Linked DNA regions of Caenorhabditis elegans. The protein of the gene in region 1 interacts with the protein of each later gene in a pairwise test. Each region holds a gene or a part of one and is shown in the gene's direction. Other genes may lie near its edges. The genes, in order: php-3, efl-2, klf-2 and fkh-2.

Region 1 (5,628 bases):
CTCTCTGCACAATTGATGCTTGATGAGAAGCAGGTCAAGGTCTGGTTCCAGGTATGTTATAGGCAGTATTCAGCGGAAAGTCTAGAGATCATAAATGTGAATTTTTATCTAATGTCCTAATGAAAAAAATTCCAGAAATTTTGGTAAATTCCCAAATTTCCTCATTTTTAAAAATTAATTTTGAGCTTCTCTGGATTTTCAAAAAACGAACATCTGAAAAATACTAAATTTCAATATTTTGAACATTTACAAGGTTTGGGCACTAATAATTGAAAAAATACAATATTTAGCGCCAGCCAAAACGAACTCGAAAAAATTGAAAAATTTTTTAAAATTTCCAGAAAAGTTTTGGCAAAATGCCAAATATTTAAACCTGTTCCGACCTCTAGAATGTTTTATAGGAATTTTTTTGGCAGACTTCCAAAATTATGACTTTCAAAAACTGAGTAATTGTCACTTTTCAAACTTGTCAAACTTGTCAAAATTTTCAAAATTTTTTTGGAAAAGTTTTGCTATCATTTTGGCACCACTGGAGTAGTTTTTAACAATTTCCTCACTGGCGCTAATCCATCAATAACCATACTTTAAAAGTTAAAAATTACTTTTCAGCACGTGGTGTCAGAGTATCCCATTTCGGATTGATCTACGTTGATCTACAAAAAATGCGGGATAAGAGGCGCAGAGTTCACAACTGATTTCACATGGTTAAGAACGTGCTGACGTCACCTTTTTTTAGGAAGAAATTCCCGCATTTTTGTAGATCACACCGTAATGGGACAGCCTGGCACCACTTTTTGTAGCCACACTTTTTTGAACTAAAGTAACATTCGTAATTAATTATCAGAGTGCAAATAAATAAGTTGGACATTTGTGAATTCACGTAAAAATGGAAATGTGCAAAAAGGAGGCAAAAGGTGAGCAGGTTTCAGGCAGGCATCAGGCCTTGAAACCGCATCTGCCTACCATGAGAAATAATTGAAAACTTTAGAAACCTGAAACCGCGCCTGAACATTGTCAAAAACCGTAAATATGTTGTTTTGTCTAAACTCCAACCATTTTAACATTGCATGAATTGTTTTGCTTTCTCTTAACTTCACTGTTTCAGAATCGACGAATGAAGGACAAGAAACTGCGTCAACGACATTCCGGGCCATTCCCCCACGGTGCTCCAGTCACTCCGTGCATCGAGCGATTGATCAACTGATTTTCTCTATTTACACAAAGTGTTCTAACTAATGATTTTTTTCTGATTCTTATTCATTATTCAATTTGCTCTCTTCTCTCTCAATTTCATAATTTTTGTCCCAAATCTCGTTTGCACAGGGTTGTGTTTTTAGCCCATTCTTCGTTCTCTCCAACCGGTACCTAGACACCGTTCACTATATTTTTTCCCTTATTGTTTGTCGTCCTCTTTGACTCTTTTTTCGATTCAAGTTCAACTTTCTTTTTCCTTTTTCATGATTTAATAACTCTTTTTTTTCAATTGGCAAGGCACCCATAAAGTTGTTTCGTTTTTCTCTGTACGTGTATGTCTGTCAGTGTATCCTGTACTTCCTGTACTACTTGCTCCTCCGTCGAGCCGATGTTCGTTCTCTACCCCCCAGCAATGCCACAGAGAAAAGCACCACTTTTGGGTCTTTGCCAAACCTGTTTTTGTTTTCCGCTAACAACCTCGTTTTACCCCCGACCTTACCACTTTTCTTTAGTATCTCTCCCCGCTGAAACCCCAAAAATAGTGCTTTTCTTGCAGGCTTGCTCACGGTAGACAACGCCCGAACATCAGCGAGCTCCCGTCATCATCCTAATGATTTCGGTGATGCAACAGATGATGAACAATTCTAATATGCCACCCCCATTTGTGAAGAGCTCTGATTCTCATGAAACTCATGATGAATCACCGACGTCTCCGTTCATTAAACGTTCGGATTCTCCTGCAACAACGTCTTCGGCGGCAGCAGCAGCAATGCAACACAACTTTTGGTCGACAAGAGCTGCACAACTGCAGCAATCTGTATCTGGATCATCTGGTGTTTCTAGTGGTTCCAGCAGTTCTGCATCGAACAATTTATCAAGGACACAAGCGGACAATCATTCGGAACGAGGATCCGACACTGCTTCCAGTCCTCAGGTTGCACCACTCCCAACGAGGTTTGTTAAGTATTTTAAATATCGCGGTCAAGTGGAAACTTTTTAATTTTAACTAGAATACAAATTTGACAATTACCACAACTTCGGCAATAGATAGCCAAATTTTTGCCCATTTCCATAAGCATGAAGTTCCTAAACGCCTAATTTTCTTTCGGCAACTTCAGCGGCCGGCCCCGAAAAATTTCGAATTATAAATAGCCTTGATAATCAGGGGTGGGCGGCAAACGATTTTTTACGGCAAATCGGCAAATTGCCGGAATCAAAAATTTCCGGCAAATCGGCAAATTGCCGGAATTGAAAACTTCAGGCAAATAGGCAAACCGGCAAATTGTGGTTTTGCAATTTTTTTTTCGAAAATTCAGAGTTTCAATTTTAATGGGCAAAATTTTACGCATTCTATGAATGCTCCTACATTTATTTTGAAAATCAAAAAAGCCGGCCACTCGGCAAATTGGCAAATTGTCAGAATCAAAAAATTCCGGCAAATTGGCGAAATTGTAACTTTCGGCCTATCGGCAAACCGGCAAATTGTGGTTTTGCACATTTTTTTTGGAAATTTCAAAAGTTCAATTTTAATGGGCAAAATTTTACGCATTCTATGAATGCTCCTACATTTAATTTGAAAATCGAAAAAGCCGGCCACTCGGCAAATTGGCAAACCGGCAATTTGCCAATTTGCCGATTGCACAAAAATTGCCGAAATTTTTTCGAAAAATTGGAAGCTCGGCAACTTTTAGGCTGCCAGTTGTCGATAGTTGCCGATAGTTTTCAGAAGTTATTGAACTTTCTGAAAATTTGTTAAACAGTGTCAACATTTGTCGAAAGTGGTCGATAGCTGCGGATAGTTTTCAAAAAATGCCAAAAATTGCCAAAAATTGCCGATAGTTACCGAAAATTATTGATTTGTTTTGAAAAGTAGCCAAAATTTGCCGAAAGTTGTTTTTTTTTAATTTTAAGATATACAAAAAATACCCCGACATTATAAATTTCATATTCTTAATTCAATAAGTACACGTAGTGCCAGACTGTCCCATTACGGTTTGATCTAGAAAAAATGCGTGATTTTTTTTGCCCAAAAAATGTGACGTCAGCACGTTCTTAACCATGCAAAATCAGTTGAGAACTCTGCCGCATTTTTTGTAGATCTACGTAGATCAAGCCGAAATGAGACACTGTGACACCAAGTATGTGTTCTCAACACAAAAACCAATAAAATCAATTTCAGCAGTGGTATGTCAATGCCAGCAGCGGCTGCAGCCGGAATGTACCCATTCAATGCTGGTCGATTTCCAACAGAGTTTAATATGATGGTTAATCAATCAATGTACAATGATTTCTATTCAAATAGTCTTGCTGCATCTTCTTGGCCATACTCTTATCCACAACAATATCCGTTTGCAAACTACTCAATGCCAAGTTTAGATGGAAATTTGAATGGTTTGTTAAAGTTTTTAAGCTTTTGAAGTTTTTTTGAAAATTTTTATTTCAGACGGTGGTCAACTAGAATGGACGTCCTCTTCACACGCAATGCGTAAAAAGAGGAAGCCGTATACGAAAGCGCAGACATTGGAGTTGGAAAAAGAGTTTTTGTACAATACCTACGTCAGTAAGCAGAAGCGGTGGGAACTTGCAAAGTACTTGCATTTGACTGAGCGACAAGTCAAAATTTGGTTCCAAGTGAGTATTTTTGGCTTCCATGGTAGGCAGGCGCGGCTTCGGGGCCTGCCTGAAACCTGACCGCCTCTTTTTTGCATTTTGACGTGAATTTTCAAATTTCAAATGTGATGAAAATAAAATTAATAGATGAAAAAGCGCAGATTGAGGCGATAGGCAGGCGAAGGTCGCCTTGAGGCCAGGCAGGCAGGCAGGCTACACGGATGCCCTACTTATTATTAAGATGTTTCATTCCAAATGGACAATTTGATTCAATAATCGTATAACTGCGTGTATCAGAAATTCTGCATCTATTGATTACTAAGAAAACACTAGATTCCGAGGATGCGTTTTGCGCAAAATATCTCGTAGCGAAAACTACAGTAATACGGGCTCGAGTTTTAAAATGGATTATTAATTTATCGATAGAATATTATTATTAAACAAAAGAAACAAATTAATATAGCTCACGTGGTGCCAGGCTGACCCATGACGGTTTGATCTACAAAAAATGCGGGAATTTTTTGCCCTAAAAATGTGACGTTTGAACGTTCTTAACCATGTAAAATCAGTTGAGAACTCTGCCGCATTTTTTGTAGATCAACGTAGATCAATCCGAAATGGGACACTCTGACTCCACGTGATAGCTGTCACAATTCAAAAAAAAAGTTAGTTTCGAAAATTGAGCTCGTAAGTCGACACTACAGTAGTCATTTAAAGAGTAGTTTTCGCTATGAGATATTTTGCGCGTCAAATATGTTGTGCAATACGCATTTTCAGAATTTTGACTTCCAGTAATATTTATATTATTTTCAGAACCGACGAATGAAAGATAAGAAGCAAAAGCAACGAACATCTGGAGATCCAACTGGAATGCTGATGCCACCTGGATTGGATTAACTCGAAATACTTTATTGTAATTGCCCCACCTCACGCGGTGCCTTTCTGTCCCATTACGGTTTGATCTACAAAAAATGCGGGAATTTTTCGCCCAAAAAATGTGACGTCAGCACGTTCTTAACCATACGAAATCAGTTGAGAATTCTGCCGCATTTTTTGTAGATCTAAGTAGATCAAACCGACATGTGACACTCTGACACCACGTGCCACCTGGGTCTAAATTTGCCAAAAACCATACCAACTTGAAATGTTTCCTGAAAAGTTTTCTGTTTCCTTTTAGGTGAATATTGAACTTCTTTTTTTTTCTTCCATCTCTCTCTCTCAACCTTAGCTCAAATGTTCTACTTCATTATATCACCACCATTGATCCGCATTTAATAAATTCAATTTACCGGTACAAACTACTTTACTCTCCTCAATATATTCCCTCAATAATCTTTTTTTTAATTTTAACTTTTTTTTGTATCGGATTTTCTGAAAAAACAAATTTTTTAAACAGTTTTTTTGAATCTTTCAAAAGTTAGATTGTGTTTCGCCATTTACACGGATTTCTGGCTTCCCTCATAAATTGAAATGGAAGAGTTTGCCGAACTAGGCCATTATGGCTCGGCCACATCTGGGGTAGATTTACGGTGCGTTGCGTGTCGCGTCGCGGCTCGATTGTAAAACTAAATGTAATTGTCCGTGTGGAGTACACGACACTTTTCCACGCGTTGTCCGACAGGCGATTGTCAATGGAGCGCGAAAAATTCAATGAGGAAGGCCAGAACCCCGTGGTGGACCTAAATTTTCACAAATTTTGAACAAAATGGGCCTAAATATTCACAAATTTTGAGCAAAATGGGCCTAAATTTTCACAAATTTTGAGCAAAATGGGCCTGAATTTTCACAAATTTTGAACAAAATGGGCCTTAATATTCACAAATT
Region 2 (7,877 bases), on another chromosome or scaffold:
CCAAAAAATTGAAAAAAAAAATATTTTTAATAAAAATACACCAATTTTTCACATTTTTTCACCGGAAAAATGCTTAAAATTGCAGATTTCTAGGCAATTTTTAGAATTTTTTCCACAAAAATTTCCAAAAAAAAATTTTCAGGACGCCGCATTTGCCCTGTCGAACAGCTCATGCGACAAGCCAATCTACACGGACCCCCCAGTCAAGACAAAGTTCGGTTATCATGTGATTATGGTCGAGGGAAAGAAATAATCATTCCAAAAAAAAAAATGTTGATTTCGCTTTTTTTTGTCTTTTTTGTTGCAAAATTTTTTTTTTTTTTTTTTGATAAATATTTTCTCATTTTTTCCCAATTTTTCCTCATTTTTTGCCCATTTATGCGTTAATTTTCAACGCTTTTTATATCTTTTTCCAGTTTAATTTTACTTTTATTTTAAATTAAAAAAGTTCTAGAAAAAGGGCGGAGCAAAACCTAAGCCACGCCCATAAAATGGTCATTTTTAACGGAAATTTTTTTCCTAAATGTTTAAAGCTAAAAAAATTAATTTTAATATTTTTTGGGAAATATTCATTGTTTTTTCTCTTAAAATTACATGAAAATTCAGTTAAAATTTGAAAGAAAAATATTTTCGAAATGCCAAGAAAGGGGCGGAGCCAACCAGACCACGCCCACACAAAGGGGGCGTGGTCAAAAATGCATTTGAATACTTTTTAAGTGTTTTTTTTAACTGTTAACAACAACACAAAAAATTAGTTTTCATTATACATTTTTAACTAATGCCAAGAAATGGGCGGAGCTAGTCAAGACACGCCCACTGAAAGGGGCGTGGTCGAAATTGAGAACATTTTAAAAATTGAATTTAAAAAACTTTTTGTTTTGTAAAAAAACACCACCGGAAATAATGGAACAGTTTTAACTTTTTCGAAATGCCAAAAAATGGGCGGAGCTAAAAGACAAAGCCCACAGAAAAGGGGCGTGGTCAGGTCAAAAATTGAAAATTTTTCGAAATTAAAAAAATCATTTTTCTTTAAAAAAAAAAACACCACCAAAAATATGATTTACATTGAGAATTTTCAAAATTTTCGAAAAGCCAAGAAAGGGCGGAGCCAACCAGAACGCGCCCACACAAAGGGGGCGTGGTTAAAATTAAGAAAAAAAAAGTTCAAAAAATTAAATTAAAAAAAAAAACTTTTTTGTGAAAAACTCTACCGGAAATATGATTTAAATAGAAAATTTTAACATTTTCGAAATATCATAAAATGGGCGGAGCTAACGATACCACGCCCACAGAAAAGGGGCGTGGCCAAAACTAAGAATCGGAGAAAAACATTATTTTCTTGAAAAAGTCACTGAAAATATGAGTTAAATTGAGCATTTTCAAAATTTTAGAAATGCCAAGAAATAGGCGGAGCCAACCAGACCACGCCCATAAAATGGGCGTGGCTTATTGCACACTGTACTCAGAAAGTTATAGTTTTTCGCATGAAAACCGCTCTGAACATGGATTTCAATTGAAAATTTGTGATTTTCTCGAGCTCAACCGTTTTGTGGGCAAAAAATGGTTTAAAAAATGAAAAAAGAAAGAAAAAATAGAAGAAAAAGGAAAGAAATGAAAAAAATGAAAAAAAAATGAGAAAAAAAAGAAAAAAAAATGAAAAAAAAAATGAAAAAAAAATGAAAAAAAAAGAAAAAAAAAAGAAGAAAAAAAGAAAAAAAAAAGAAAAAAAAAGAGAAAAAAATGAAAAAAAAAAATGAAAAAAAAATGAAAAAAAAAAGAAAAAGAAAATATGCTCTCTTTTTTTCTCTTTTTTTTTCCTTTTTTAAATCAATTTTCTGCAGATCTCTGTTATGCAAAGTATGGATCCCTCGTCAATAGACTTGGGCTCAATACCCGGTGGCTCGGAGCAACAACAACACGAGGACGGAGCAGCAGCAGCAGCTGGAAGTCCCAAAGAAGTATTTCGAAGTCAGCAATCACTTGGGCTCATTACACAACGATTCATGAGCCTACGGCAAAGGAATGAGGTGCTCAATTTGAATGAAGTGGCCAAAGAGTTGAATATCTCGAAACGACGCGTCTATGACGTCATCAATGTGCTCGAGGGGCTCGGTTATGTGGAGAAGGTGGAGAAGAATAATATTCGATGGATGTTAGTGCGATTTTTCCCGGTTTTTCCGAGTGAAATTTGTTCAATTTCTTAAATTTTTTTCATTCGAGGAAGAATGAAAAAAAATTTTAAGTAAAAAATGCCTGAAATGAAAAATGAAAAAAAAAAGAGAAAAAAACGATGAAACATTTTTTTTTTCCTTTTTTTTTCATTTTTTTTTCTTTTTTTTTCTTTTTTTTCCTTTTTTCCTTTTTTTCATTTTTTTTTTCATTTTTTTTCCTTTTTTTTTCTTTTTTTCATTTTTTTTCATTTTTTTTTTCCTTTTTTTCTTTTTTTCATTTTTTCTTCTTTTTTTCTAGTATTTTTTTTTCATTTTTAGTAATCGAGTTCAGAGCTGGCTGGGGTTTGTATCATTTATTGATATTAAATGAAAGGATAGAGCCATCAGATAGGTGATGGCTTATATACAATATGAAGTAGGCGGAGAATCAATAAGATAAGTAAAAATGACGGGGGATAGGAATGCAATCATAATTGAATGGTGCAAAAGATAACAAAACAACATTAATAATGTGAGGATTGCGAGTGAGTCACGGGGCAAAGAGTACGATCGCGTACATTTAGACAAAATTGGAATTTCATGAAAAAAAACCGTTTTCAACCAAAAAATTGCAGATTTGTCTATATTTTCAAGTGGAAGTTGAAAATGAAAGCAATTTTCCAAATTTTCTCTGGAAATTTGATTTTTCAGGCAGTTTTTAATGAAATTTCAATCATTTTGAGCAAAAATTCAGAAGTCTTCAATTTTTGACCGAAAAACTGCTACTTTTCTGATTTTTCTCGACATTTTGACTGAAAATCACTGTTTCAGCTAATTTTGACTGGGTTTTCCGAATTTTTTAGGTGGAAATTGAAAATTAAAGCAAAGTTCCAATTTTCCACTAAAATTCGATGATATTGAAAGAAAATATGCGCAAATCTGCAATTTTTGGCTCAAAAACTGATATTTTTCCGATTTTTCCCGAAATTTTGGCTAAAAATCACAATTTCAGCCAATTTTTTCCTGATTTTCTGATTTTCCAGAGGAATTTCTCAAAAAAAAAACTGTTATCCAGTCAAAATTTCGAGAAAAACGGAAAAATTGCATAATTGTCTATATTTTCCGTAAAAATGATTGAAGTTTTAATAAAAAGTGTTTCCCGGTAAAAGTTGGAAAATTGCTTTAATTTTCAACTTCCACTTGAAAATATAGACAAATCTGCAATTTTTTGGTTGAAAACGGGTTTTTTTTTCATGAAATTCCAATTTTGTCTAAAAATGAAAAAAAAAATACTAGAAAAAAAGAAAAAAAGGAAAAAAAAATGAAAAAAAGAAAAAAAAGAAGAAAAATGAAAAAAAGAAAAAAAAGAAGAAAAATGAAAAAAAGAAAAAAAGGAAAAAAAAAATGAAAAAAAAAAAGAAAAAAAAAGGAAAAAAAATGTTTCATCGTTTTTTTCTCTTTTTTTCATTTTTCATTTCAGGCATTTTTTACTTAATTTTTTTTTCATTCTTTCTCGAATGAAAAAAAATGTTTTTTTTTTCGATTTTCCCTATTTTTTCCAGTGGAGACAACAACAATTCCGAAGAGCAAAACGCGCTCGAGGCCCGAGTCGAGATGCTCCGCCAACAGGAAAAGCTGCTCGAACTGATGATACGAGATGCTCAAGCGATTATTGAGCTCCATTTTGAGGATCCAATTGAGCGGCCCTATAAGTTTGTTTTTTTCTAAAATTTTTGAGTAAAATTGAAAAAGAAATGAAAAAAAGAGAAAAATGAAGAAAAAAAGATGAACAAAAAGAGAAAAAAAAAGAATGAAAAAAGAGGAAAAAAAGGAAAAAAAAATTTTTTTAAAGTTTTTTTCATTTTTTACATTAATAATGAAAAAAAGTGAAAAAAGGAAAAATGAAAAAAGAGAAAAAAAAAAGGAAAAAAAGAATGAAAAAAAGAGGAAAAAAAGTTGTTTTCCTTTTTTCATTCTTTTTTCATTTTTTACACTAATAATGAAAAAAAAAAATGCAAAAAGGAAAAATGAAAAAAGAGAAAAAAAAGAATGAAAAAAAGAGGAAAAAAAGTTTTTTTTTTCTTTTTTCATTCTTTTTTCATTTTTTACATTAATAATGAAAAAAAGTGAAAAAAAGAAAAAAATGAATGAAAAAAGAGGAAAAAAGAAAGAGAAAAAAGGAAACAAAGAATGAAAAAAAGAGGAAAAAAAGTTTTTTTTCTTTTTTCATTCTTTTTTCATTTTTTACATTAATAATGAAAAAAGTGAAAAAAGGAAAAAAATTGTAAAAAAAAGAGAAAAAAGGAAAAAAAGAATGAAAAAAAAAGTGTTTTCTTTCTTTTTTTCATTCTTTTTCATTTTTTACATTAATATTGAAAAAAAGTGAAAAAAAAATGTTTCAACTGAGAAAGTAAGAAAAAAGAGAATTCCAATTTTTGGACAAAATAAGGAAAAAATGAAAGAAAAACTGAAAAAAATAATTTTAAAAAATGGAAAAAAATGAAATATTTAACAAATAAAATGAGAAAAATTGTTTATCATTTTTTTAAATAAAAAAAAGAACTATTTTCAGTTATGTGAGCAAAGAAGACATTCGAAAAACCGCCGAGCCGAACACAAAATCGATTATCGTAAAATCAGAACTGGATACGAGCAGCTCCTTTGAGGTTCGATTTTTTGGCGATTTTTAAATTTTATTTCGAAAAAAATTTAAGAACATAAATTTTCAGCTAATTTTTAGCTAAAATCTCAAAAAAAAACCACAACTTTTTGAAAATTTGCAACCCAAAAATCCACAAGAAAAATCAATAATAGGCTCCGCCGCCCATATATTGGCTTAAAATCGGGCCATTTTTCCAGATCCAAGTAACAGACCCGAGCACCAGTGGCTCACACGATATGATAGTTCGGAATAAGAATGGAGTCAAATCTCACGCGTTGCTCTTCACAAATGATCCGCCAGAGTACGGCGATGAGGAGGACGAGGACGATGTGAAAAAATTATCATCACAAAAAAGATTTGAGACATCTGAAGCATTACGTGTAACCCTAGCTGAAATGCTAACAGATCCCACAACAATCTCATCATCACCAAAACACATCAAATTAGAAGAACCGGAGGAAATTGATACCGAGGATTTGGGTGCGAGGAATTCACAGAATTCGGAAAAAATCTGAAAAAAATCGCAGGAAAATGACTTAAAAATTCCAATTGTCCGAGAGGAGTACAATTTATTTCGAAAAAATTTTAAAAAAAATCAAATTTCGATTATCGGAGAGGAGTACAATTTATTTCGAAAAAAAATTGAAAAAAAAATAATAAAATTTCGATTGTCCGAGAGGAGTACAATTTATTTCGAAAACATTTTAAAAAATCAAATTTCGATTTTCCGAGAGGAGTACAATTTTTTTCGAAAAAAATTTAAAAAAATCTAATTTCGATCGTCCGAGAGGAGTACAATTTATTTCGAAAAAAATTTAAAAAAATCAAATTTCGATTTTCCGAGAGGAGTACAATTATTTTGGAAAAAAATTGAAAAAAAAATTTGATAGTCCGAGAGGAGTACAATTTATTTCGAAAAAATTTTAAAAAAATCAAATTTCGATCGTCCGATGGCAATTTTCCGGCAAACATTTCCAATTTCCAAATTTTTCCAGAAACTTTTGCCCCCCCGGAATTTTCCGAAAATAAGTGGTCACAAAAAATAGGGGGCGGGCTTGCCATTTTGTGGGCGTGGCTTGCTCTTATGCCCCGCCCACAAAATGGGAACTTTTTTTCGGCAAAATTTTTCAAATTCTTTCCAGAAACAGTCGCCCGAAGTTTTTTTTTTTTTTAATTTGAAAAAAATATGATTTCCGAGAAGGCACAGAAAAATGGGCGGAGCGTAGGAGGCTACGCCCACAAAAGAGGCGGAGCGTTAACATTTCGCCGAGAAAGTGTCCATTTTGTGGGCGTGGTTTGAGATTGAAAATTTTGCATTTTCCGAAAAAAAAACTTCTTGAGACAGAGTTTGCCGCAAAGGCACGGAAAAGTGGGCGGACTTACCAATTTGTAGGCGTGGTCTGTGAAGCTCCTCCCATTTAATGCCCCGCCCACAAAATGGCAACTTTTTTTCGGAAAAAATTTCCAAATCGCCCGGAATTTTCAAAAAAAAAAAAAGATCACAAAAAATGGGGCGGGCTTACCATTTTGTGGGCGTGGCTAGTTATTCCCCGCCCACAAAATGATCATTTTTTCGGCAAAAAATTCCAACTTTCCAAATTCTTTCCAGAAATCATCGGCCGGAATTTCCCAAAAAAAAAAAAGGTGCCTACACGTGGTGTCACGTTGTCCCATCACGGTTTGATCTACAAAAAATGCGGGAATTTTTTCCCCAAAAAATGTGACGTCAGCATGCGAAATCAGTTGAGAGCTCTGCACCTTTTCTCCCGCGTTTTTTGTAGATCACAACGAAACGGGACAACCTGACACCACGTGGGCTTACCATTTTGTGGGCGTGGTTAGCTATGCCCCGCCCACAAAATGGTCTTTTTTTTTTCGGCAAAAAATTCCAAATTTCCAAATTCTTTCCAGAAACCTTTGTGCTCCCTCCATCCACATCAGCTTCACAATCAAATGCTCCATATCTACCAGAAACTCCAGGCCGTGGGCTCTTTTTCAGTCCATTCAAGTCACTTATCGATCCGTGTATTCTGCCGAGTTTCTCCGATGATCTGACAAGTGGTTATATTAATATTACGACACCGTCGAGAGCCACTGGAGCCGGAGCCGGAGCCAGCGGCCAGGAAGACGAGGAGCCCGTCAGTGTTATGGACTTTTTCTCTGATTAATTTTTGAATTTATTTTAAATTGTGTTATTTTTAAAAAGGTTTTCTTTTTGTTAAAAATTGAGAATTTTGGTGGAATCGCGCTGCAAACGCGCTCCACGGCAATCATTTTTCGTTTTTTTTTGTGCCATGTGGTGCCAGCCAGGCTGTCCCATAACGGTTTGATCTACAAAAAATGCGGGAATTTTTTGCACAAAAAGTAAAAAAGTATGACGTCAGCACGTTCTTAACCATGCGAAATCAGTTGAGAACTCTCTTGTATCTCTTCTCCCGCATTTTTTGTAGATCAACGTAGATCAAGCTGAAATGAGACCTCAATAAAAACACGAGGAATTCAAATTTTTGGCCGTGGAGCGCGCTTGCATCACGATTTCAACCCCCCCCCCCCCCCCTGATGACGTCACAGTGTACCTTTTTTTTGAATCTCGGTTGAATTATCTCTTCCATTATTATTACATCTCCCCCGCCCAGAATATCTCAGGTTTTTTGTTTTAAAATATTATTTTTGAAAATTTTCTAATTTCTTTTAATTCTCTATACCTTTTTCGGCTCATAAATTCCCCTTTTTTTTCTCGAAAGTTTGATTTAAACATATACATATGTACGAATTTTATTGATTTTTTTTTTCGATTTTTTTCTCCAATTTTATGGTTTACTACCACAGCCAATTTTCTATCTTTCTTAAATTACATTTTCAGGAAAATCGAATTTAGATTAAAAAAAATATATATTGCAAAAACCCACAAACACAAACAGAAAAGTTCGAATTTTGCAAATTTTGTTTGTCCGAGAGGAGTACACGAAATTTTCAAATTTTTGATAAGCTAATTTTCAAACCAAAATTTCTTAAAATTCGGATCGTCCGAAAGGAGTACAATTTTTTTTTGAAAAAGACGAAAA
Region 3 (5,581 bases), on another chromosome or scaffold:
CATAATACAAATTATAGAGGATATAAAAAATACCTATATAATAGATTGTAGTTATTGTATTTTCTCACTTCCGTTGTCTCAAAAAATGGAACCTCTTCTAATTATCCTTTTCGTTATTTATTGTACAGTTTTTGTAATTGGGACTACTGGAAATTTGATTATGGTCCTGGTGACATATTATTGCAAGTAAGTACATCAACAATTTAAATTTAAAAAAAACAAATTTCAGAAATCTCCGGTCAATTTGCAACGTCCTTATTGGTTTGTGTTGCTTTTACGATCTATTACTTGCTGTTCAATTTTAAAAACCAGATTCCAAAAATCGAATGAAAATTGTTTACGACTCATCTTGCACTTTTAAACACGCAAAAATGTAGAGTGTCAGACAAAAAGATACATTGCCACTAAATTTGTATGTCTATGTAAATATATATGTGTATATATAAATATATTTCAGAACATATGTACATACTTGTTTACTCACATCTGAATTCTCTTCGAGATCTTCTAATATTTTTATTAGTTTTTTTTGTCAAAACTCAAAATCCTGACGGTTACAATTTTTACAAAGAATTAGGTTGCTGGAGTTGCCTCAGTTAAAACCATACTGCGAGTTTTACCAGTCGAACACACCTTTCCATTATCTCAATATATCAAACATTAATCAATCATAAAACTGATATGGTCCCGCCGCAGTTGAAAAAAAGGAGACCGCCCGTCCAAACAATATTCTCAAGTACGTTTACATACCTAGTCGGCACTTTTAACAGTAATCACTGCTTCCTCCTCTTCCGCACCCACTTACTGGATTGTTCGCACCCGTAAAATCATAACTTCCCGACTGTAGCAAGGCGAGGCGGTAGGGAAGAGGGTACTAAAATTGGAGGTGGGAGGGGGGGGACGTTTGGATAAACACAGCATTGGGGTATCATTTTAGAGTACTGTAAGTGATACTGTTTGTGGATATGTATAGTTTTTTTTTTCAATCTAGCGTCTACATTTCCCTTCTGTTTTTAGTCCCGCACGTCATTTTCAGATTTAAAACCAAATCTTGGTTGTGACTTGACTGTCCGCAAATCCGGCAAATAGGCAAAATGCCGGTTTGCCTATTTGTCGGAATTTTCATTTTCGGCAAGTTGCCGGTTTGCCAATTTGATGGATATCAGATTTGCCAAAAATGTTTAGAGGGATTTTTTTTATAAGACGGAAACACTTAAAACTGTGCCTTTTTGAATTTTTTTCCGTTTTTTTTTTTGAAATTTTCATAGAATTTTCATAGAAATAGAATTTCTGATTTGCCGGCAATTTGCCCATTTGCCGGAAAAATCGTTTGCCACCCACCCGTGATGTACTGTACTATTGATCAAAACCGGCATAACTTTGGAGCACTACAAAGCCTTGTGTTCTTTCTATAAAATTTCTGAACTTTGAAAACAAAATTATTTATCACATGTCCTTTTCCCAAAAAACTCCCTTCCTTCTTCTATTAATGACACCCATCTCCCCTCCACACATTTTCCGCGCACACACCTTTCTGCCACCCCTTTCTCAGAGAAACAACAAACCTCCCCGTTTTTTGGTTACTGTTTGCCCATGCCTATCAGTTTTGACATGCTATCATAAAATGGCACTTGCAGGGCATATGTGCGCCTTCTTGGATAATTTTCTTCTAGCTTGACCATCGTCTTCTTGACATGTTTATTTTTTTTCGAAATGCCCAAAAGTGTCGTAATCTTTAGATCAAACATATCATGACCACCATCTACACATGCTCAAGTTTTCTGTATTTTCTATTCTTGGGGGGAAAGAAAAGTTTGCTCAAGTTTTCTGTTTGTTATCATAGGAGTGACCGGTCTGGTGTCACCACACCCCTTTTTTGGAGCCTGGGGAGCTCACTTTTTTGTAGACCAGAAGAGGTGTGTATATTCGCTTAGGATGTTTATTTTTGTGGAAACATTAGTCATTTTTCTTTAGTTTCACGATAGATGCTCTACTAATGAAGGCACGTATTGTAATCTAGCATTAACATTGTTTTGTTCTTTGTGGTGAGTACATAGGTATTTTGTTTTTAGTGAGTTAGTTCCTACGTGTTCAGTGCATTGAGAGTTAGAGCCTTATAGTTAGTAGTTAGTTCCCAGAATTTCGAACTTGAAAGTTCTTAAAAATGGAGCAGCGCCATTGGGGAAAATGCTAAAAACAACTCCTATGGTGTCAAAAATGACCGAATATCAAAATAAAACTTTCAAAAAAATTTTGAAATTTTTCTATTTACTGTCAAAAACTGACAAGTGCTCATTCTTTGCCACTCATAATTTTAGAAGTCGGAAAAAAATTTCTTGCATTTTTTATATTTTCATTTTGTTTTAATTATTTGTTTTAAAAAATTATAGGGGTCGGAACATGCGACACTGCATTGAATTTCCTCAAAGGCTCATATTTTTCAATATTTTGGCAATGTGCCAAAACTTTGACCTGGAATTATGAGAAACCTAAAATTTTTAGGAGTGTTGCATCATGATATTTTGTCGCTTTGGTTTAATATAAGTGAGACAAAATTCTCACAGGCGCTACTCCACCTTTAACTTTCTTATCTCTTGAATATTTCGGTTTGAGTGTGAATTCTCTAAATATCAAAAAGATCCAAAAATTTTGCTACTAATTCCCCCTATTTGTATATACACTTGTGATATGACGTAAAAACATATTCACAAGAACTACAACTTTCGCTTTGAAAATTCACAACAAATATCGAAAAGTAAGCAGTAGGCAAAGAAGAACGCAAGACTTTTATGACTTGAAATGTATTGAACGAGAATGAAGACGTCACATTTGTGCGTGTGTGTATGCACAACGGTATTACATGGTGTTGTTGTAGTGTTGGAATATTTGTACTATCTACTAGTAGAAGTTGCCTTACTTTGGCTTATGGTTAAGATTTTCACTACAAATTTAGAACTATGCATACAATTAGGTTCAGGCATTACATCTTTTTTTAACCACAAAATGAATTAGTATTTGCCTATGCTAATTTTTATTTGACCTTCTGTTACAATGTAATTTTTGAAAATTCGTTTCAGAGTCTCACTCTTTTTTGGTGATTTTCAATTTATCGTTATTCATCTACAACTCCTTCCAGATGTACTCTAGCATAGTCCCGTCTAGTTCAAATGGTTACTATCATCAGTCTCAATACCAAAATGCCCATCACCAACATCATCAGCAGCATTATCACCAACAATCTCATCATCATTATAATGGAGCAGCTGCGGCTCCAGTCATCAATGTTCACAACTATCATTTTCATACGGGACCTGTTAATAATCAGGTTTTGTATTTAATTGAAGTTTTTAAATTCAATTTTCTATTTTTTGAGGTCATCGAGCAGCACTACAATCATCATAACCATGTCCAACAAACTTTCGAAGAAAATATTCCACAAGGCCCGCACAGTTCTTTCAATTTTTCCCATGACTTTCCACAACAGAATAATTCCGAAACTCACCTCAATCACATGGAACCTTCGATGACTCCAATGGAACATCAAAACTCGGGAAGCTCGACACCATATCCGTTTGAAGCCAAGTTATTCGTTCCATCGCCTGCAGCGTCTGTATCCAGTTACTCATTTTCAAGCGATTTGTCGGGTAAAGACGAGGAAGATCCCAGGATTCCTTTAAAAGATCGTGGAAGAGTATATCATCCGCAGAGCACTGAAAAACCAAAAAAGGTGCCGAGTAAACGGAGGGATAAGGCTACTTTGGATCGATTAAGAGTTCATAAGTGTTTTTATCAAGGTAAGTTGCAAGCGTGTTTAGCTTAAGCTTGAATTTCATTTTCAGGTTGCGGCAAGGTCTACACAAAAAGTTCCCATCTAACAGCTCATGAGCGTGTTCATAGTGGTGAGTAGCTTACAGAACCTCATTATACATAATTAATCATATCCTCCTCTTCAATGTCGTGAACAGCGCGCACTCGTCGGCACATTGTTCTGTGTAACGGGATACTTCCGTTGACAAACACGCTTCTCATCAATCACTAGATACTTTTTGTAACGAATGCACAGGAATCAACTACTGTTGCTATGTTATGTTAGTCCATATCAATATTTGGCCTTGTCCGGTACTTCGCGGCATCCCCCTTTTAGAAGTATCGAATAAGGAGTTGTAAAGTATCAATAAACTGTCAATTAAGTGCGTGGGCCTATGGATATAAGAATTAGGAGGGTTGCGGGAAAATTGGAAAATAATAACTTACCCAATTCCTAATGCTTCGGAAAGTGTGGAAAATGCGAAAGTTGCTTGCAGGAAGAACGCCTGAAATATCTATTATATTTTGGTTTATCTGGTGATTGACGAAACTCAGAGTCGCGATTTGATCTGACACTGAGATCGTCAGCTAAGCTTTTTAAAATGTTTTTTTGCTGCGAAAATCTAAAAATTTATAAATTTGCAACTGCTTCTTGGGAAATTAGCTTGCTTTTTATTTCTAAAACGGTAAGATGTAAAGTTTTCAACTTTTATGTTAGTTGAGCACTTTTTTTTAATTTTGAGGTTTGAGAAACGGATAGCCAAAGTCAGTTTTATACAGATCCGGTCGTAAATTTTCAACAACTTTTGATATCCGCAGCAGAAATTAAGATTTTTCAAGCTGAAAATCTCAGCTTTCAAATGATGTTAGTTTCACACCAAATGGCCACTTGGAGTTTTGAACATTCCCTAGTCAGCAGCTTGCCAAAGTATTACCTATTCGATAATAATCTTCTCATTTAGGTGAAAAGCCGTATCCATGTGAATGGCCTGGATGCTCTTGGCGATTTGCACGATCCGACGAGCTAACCCGCCATTACCGTAAGCACACTGGAGCCAAACCGTTTGCATGCAAAGAATGCTCCAGGAAATTTTCGAGAAGTGATCATTTGCAGTTACATATGAAGCGGCATGAAACGGATGAACAAGACGATGGAATGGATGATTTCAAGGATTTCATGACTTTTATTTGAAGATTTCGTTTCATTATGAGTGAGATGATACGTTTAATTATGAATAAACAGTAGATTGAATCCTTTCACATATTAAGAACAATGTAGTTCTTTGGCAAATTATTGAGTGGCGTAGTTCCAATTTTTGTGACAATCCGGCAGAAAGGGCATTTGATGTACCCTTGCCCGACAATTTTTTGAACACATCCCATGCACATCGTGTGACCACAGCCTGAAAATTTTCAGTTTTCTACTGAATTTAGAAAAAAATAATTTAAAACTAACCCAAAACTCGCGGAGTCTGATCCATAGTTTCTCCCTCAAACTTGCAAGCACAAATTTCGCAGGTTCTCCATGGGAACGGTTCTCCTCGTTGCTCTTCCTGACTCTTCACATGAAATTCTGTCAATTGGTTCACTCTCCTTCGATACCCGTCTGTGACTCCCTGCTCTTTTTTCACTTGTTCTTCGACGCGAGACATATCGTCTCTGAATCGCAATTTGAAGGAAAAGTCGTTAAGTTGCTCCTTCAAACTCATGTTTTCTCGCAGTAATCGTGCCATGTGTGATTCTTGAATAGTGAATTCTGTATTGACTTTCAGGG
Region 4 (4,193 bases), on another chromosome or scaffold:
TATTCAGTCATTCTGAATCGTTGTAAGTGCATTTAGATCACCACTGGCGCTTTAAAAAAAGCTTTGACTTGCAAGTCTTTTAAAATGTTAAAACTCTGTTTTTTTTTCATTTTTGGTAATGTTTCATGTAAATTATTGACTCCTGATCTCATTTTTCATGTGTGAGCGCGTTCGTCAAAAAAATATTTTCGCCTGATTATCCAGCTGTCTGAGATATTTTCAGCGGATTGGTCCTTGATCAGTTGGAAATATTTTATGAGATTTCAATCATTTACTTTCTCAACAATTTTTTGTTAGCCAAAGCTGTAAATTACTCAATTGAATCTCCGAAACATTTTCAATAAAAAATGTAGCAAAAGTAGAAATTGTATTTAATTTTACGTAGCTAATGTTCAACCATTCTATTAATACGTGTCTCACCTCTGCATGAAAACAATCGTATTGTAATTACCCTTTTCAAACCATGCATTCACAATATTGATCCCTCTCTTAAAAACCACCTGCTATTATAGTCTCAATATGTCTTCCGGATTACAAGACACTAGAAGAATGAGTATTGAGGAGTCACTTAGTTCAATAATATGACGAGCAGCTGAATGGTGTCAATCAAACGATTTGTTGCAAAGTTGCTCATCCGCTTACCGCAGAAGATAAACTTTTTTCAATTTTAGTTATTTCAAATAGTTGTGACAGGTTACTTTTCTTACAACTACTTTTATTTTGAACTTCGAATTTGAATTACATTTTTTTAATAGCTAGTTCCACTCGCAAATGTTTTTGTTATTTTTTAATAAACAATATTTCCTCAGATTTCACTACAAACCATAGTTGTAAATTTGGCAACAACGGAGTAACGATTTTTGGAAACAAAATATAAAACTTTCCAAATTTAAAATAAAATTCATATTGTTTCATTTAGACACCATAGGAGTGGTAGATTTCTCCATTGTTGCTACTTTTTCTTTAATTCTTTAAGTTTACTTATTCATGCACGAACTGAAACTCAACTTAAGTTGGTAATAGTCTACATATAAAGAAAATAAGAGCAATTCTAATTAATTCATCAGAAGTCATTGTAAAAAAATATAGGAAGAAGACGGGTCATAATACTTGATTATAAAACTTTTTTGTCTTCCTTCGTTAATTTGGTCTAATTTCATATTCCTCAATTATCAAGTTATGTAAGATTAAGTTCTTAAGTTATCAAATATCATATTAATGAATTGCACTTTCAAAATCATGCACATTTTTTAGACGTTCGAATTTTCTGTTCAGACAGACAGTGATTTAAAAGTCATGCAGAATAGAACACTTCCACCATAATCATCCTTGGAAACGCCTCTTTGGTTTTTTCTTCATACTCAAACATTTTTGATATCCCCGTTAGTCTTCACCGCTTTACTATACTTTTTGCACCCTTTTCTACGTAGTTGGGAGACCATTCGGTTCACTCTTTCATCTTGGGTCCCCCCGCACACTCTCTACCGTGCAGGCCACGCCCAGCCGGGTGATCGCAGTGGTTAGTCCCACCCACACTGGACCCATCACTTTGTCGTGTCATTGTTTCCATACCAAATCGCATCAGTATACCAACTTTCCAAATCTCAGGAAAACGACTCGAATTCTGATGGCTCGATTCTCGATTCTGGATCTGTGCCCGGACCTTGTTGAAGAGGCGGTCAAGATTGAACAACTTCACATTTCAACTCAACCATGCATCAAGCAAGAATCCACGGGTTGGTTCGTTTTCTATTTAATTTTAAGATAGATCTTAGTATAAGCTGTTATTACATTTGTGTGTACGTGTTTGCAAACCTTCTAGGAAAAAGTATGCATTTAGAGATTAGAGCCAAGGAACAACTATTTTGTTTTTGGTTTTCAAAAGAATATCCTTGCATATCGAAAAACTCCACTTTAACACTTAAATTCATATTAATACGATTATTCTTTAAGTCAAACTTTAGAAACATTAAGCCTTCACAATATAGCTTTCCAAAATCTCGGATAATTATAGAGCTCTAAATATATGTGCTATCCTAAATTCCAGTTACTTCTTCTTAAATTCCTAACTTTATTCTATCAAAAGCATACGTTTTAGGGTACTGTACATTTCTTCACACCAATTCCATTACCATATTCAAAAGCGCGGCGGCTCTTGTTATTATTATTATTCTTATTATTATCTGTTAAACATGCGCATATGTGCTTTAAGCTTACGGTAGCGCCCGCTGTTTGCCTCAGCCAACCGCACTTGTTGTCGTCGTTGATTGATGTTTGCCATCGTTCTCGTTTTTCGTATCAAATCCTCCGCTTGAATCCCCAACCGAACCTCCCCAAGCGTTTACACTTCACCTAAAATGTCAGTAGAGACGCGGCGACCAGCTGTCATGTTGTTGCGGATTTGTAAACCCTCAGCTCGTCAAAACTCATAATCTCTTTGTTGCACCACATGCTCCGGTCTTCTTATGCCTACCGTAATCGTTTTATCTTCAGATATCAGTGACCCAAGCACATCAATCGACACTACTGACACCATGTCCACCGATTATCTTCATGACGAGAGCATTGATGACGAACGATCAGAGAGCACATTGAGCAAGGTAACTAATCATTAAATTCCCTCTCTACGTTCAATTTCGAAGTATTCCACTTATTCAGGATTCCAAGTCACCATCATCCAGCAACTCAGAAGAGAAAACTCCAAGCTCTCCGAACGACAAGCCACCATTCTCCTACAATGCATTGATCATGATGGCCATCAAAGACAGTCCAGAAAAACGTCTCACATTGGCTGGAATTTACGAATACATCGTCACCAATTACCCATTCTACCGGGACAACAAGCAGGGATGGCAAAACTCCATCCGCCACAACCTCTCCCTCAACAAGTGCTTTGTCAAAGTTCCAAGAAACTTTGATGATCCAGGCAAAGGTAATACTCTAAATCGTTTTCCAATTAACTCATATTTTAATCCAATACATTTTCAGGGAACTATTGGATGCTCGATGCAACTGCTGAGGACGAGGTATTCATTGGTGGAGCAACTGGAAAACTGCGCCGTCGCCCTTCCTCTCTCTCGCGTGCTAGAATGGACGCCTACAAGCAGTACGGAGCAGCCGCTGCAAACCTCTTCCCATACTTCAGTCCAGGAATGCCAGCCCTCCCTCGTCACCCGTATCTGACTGCTCCAAATGGCTTTCTCCCTCGTCAAATGATGCCGATTCCAGCGATGCCTCAAGTTTTCGCACAACCTGAACTTTTACAATTATACATTAACCAACAACAAAGCTTATTCACAAAACTACAGTAATCCTTCTTTTTATGGCCTTCAAGTTTTCTTAACTCAGCATGTGTCTCCTATTAGTAGTTCGGTGTACCTATTTTTGATTTATAACTTATTTCGACCTAATTAACCTACACCAAGTTTACAATATTTCTATTCACGGGTAGCAACTTGCAATATTTTTTTCAAGAAATTGATTAGCGGTAACTTTTATAACTATAAATACATGCCCCTCTTCCGCTTGTCATCCTTCTCCCTCCACAACACCTTATAAAGATCTGTGTTCCTTGCTTTATTACTTGTTCCCATTCCGTGCTTGTAACACCAATTGTTATTTTTTCGTCATTATTGTCAACACCTTTATGTTTTCATAATAAATCACTTGTAGTCATGTGACTCTTTTTTGCCGTCAAACGTCGATTATTTTTGTCGGGTGTTGGTTACGCAATGGAGCTGTGCAAATCGGTGGTCATGGTATTCGAGATGCCGCCCCCGAGCAGATGCGTTTTTTTTTATTTCGCCACGCCGACCGTTTAAACTATTAAGATTAGATCTGAAAATTGAGACCAAACAGAGAATTTCAAGCTCAGATTTTGAAATTAATTTGGTGCGAGAAGTCAAATTTAGTTTTGTACAATCCAAATTCACAGACAGTGATTTTAAAGTGATGCAGAAAATAACACTTTCCCGGTAATCAGATTTGATGAAAAAAAATGTTTTTTTGACATTTTTGATATCTCGATAGAAATCTTCACAAGTACACAGAAGGAAAATATAATAGTTTAAAAGCTCTGTTCAGTCATAAATGGAGCAAATTGCGAAAATGCCCGAATATCACAGTGAAACTAAGTTTTATTTAAAATATTTTGTTTTGTTTCAAAAAAGTGGTAAATACTCAGTGTTGCCACT

Evidence for each region.
Region 2: the proteins of php-3 (region 1) and efl-2 interact in a two-hybrid assay, tested with the Caenorhabditis elegans proteins (one large-scale study listed by BioGRID).
Region 3: the proteins of php-3 (region 1) and klf-2 interact in a two-hybrid assay, tested with the Caenorhabditis elegans proteins (one large-scale study listed by BioGRID).
Region 4: the proteins of php-3 (region 1) and fkh-2 interact in a two-hybrid assay, tested with the Caenorhabditis elegans proteins (one large-scale study listed by BioGRID).

The regions. Positions count from the first base shown.
Region 1 is NC_003281.10:12,073,679-12,079,306, reverse strand, and holds php-3 (Homeobox protein php-3), read left to right. Parts: upstream 1-1,750; 5' UTR 1,751-1,804; coding exon 1,805-2,148; intron 2,149-3,373; coding exon 3,374-3,585; intron 3,586-3,637; coding exon 3,638-3,825; intron 3,826-4,617; coding exon 4,618-4,701; 3' UTR 4,702-5,089; downstream 5,090-5,628. Other genes in the region: Homeobox protein nob-1, read left to right, coding at 1-51, 1,106-1,204. UniProt on the Caenorhabditis elegans protein: Probable transcription factor, involved in posterior embryonic patterning, morphogenetic movements of the posterior hypodermis, and cell fate specification. May regulate expression of transcription factor dmd-3.
Region 2 is NC_003280.10:13,404,301-13,412,177, forward strand, and holds efl-2 (Transcription factor efl-2), read left to right. Parts: upstream 1-1,839; 5' UTR 1,840-1,859; coding exon 1,860-2,152; intron 2,153-3,712; coding exon 3,713-3,862; intron 3,863-4,722; coding exon 4,723-4,816; intron 4,817-5,009; coding exon 5,010-5,292; coding exon of another isoform or gene 5,293-5,327; exon of another isoform or gene 5,328-5,384; intron 5,385-6,723; coding exon 6,724-6,980; 3' UTR 6,981-7,595; downstream 7,596-7,877. Other genes in the region: pinn-4 (Peptidyl-prolyl cis-trans isomerase), read left to right, coding at 143-253.
Region 3 is NC_003283.11:20,683,772-20,689,352, forward strand, and holds klf-2 (Kruppel-like factor 2), read left to right. Parts: upstream 1-1,911; 5' UTR 1,912-1,927; intron 1,928-1,958; 5' UTR 1,959-2,045; intron 2,046-3,136; coding exon 3,137-3,325; intron 3,326-3,373; coding exon 3,374-3,794; intron 3,795-3,839; coding exon 3,840-3,899; intron 3,900-4,769; coding exon 4,770-4,999; 3' UTR 5,000-5,059; downstream 5,060-5,581. Other genes in the region: F53F8.3 (RING-type domain-containing protein), read right to left, coding at 5,065-5,210, 5,264-5,581. UniProt on the Caenorhabditis elegans protein: Probable transcription factor which regulates lipid metabolism.
Region 4 is NC_003284.9:3,739,689-3,743,881, reverse strand, and holds fkh-2 (Forkhead box protein fkh-2), read left to right. Parts: upstream 1-1,558; 5' UTR 1,559-1,627; coding exon 1,628-1,736; intron 1,737-2,140; exon of another isoform or gene 2,141-2,341; intron 2,342-2,491; exon of another isoform or gene 2,492-2,493; coding exon 2,494-2,600; intron 2,601-2,658; coding exon 2,659-2,932; intron 2,933-2,988; coding exon 2,989-3,311; 3' UTR 3,312-3,675; downstream 3,676-4,193. UniProt on the Caenorhabditis elegans protein: Transcription factor. Plays a role in embryogenesis and later development, perhaps acting redundantly with forkhead protein pes-1.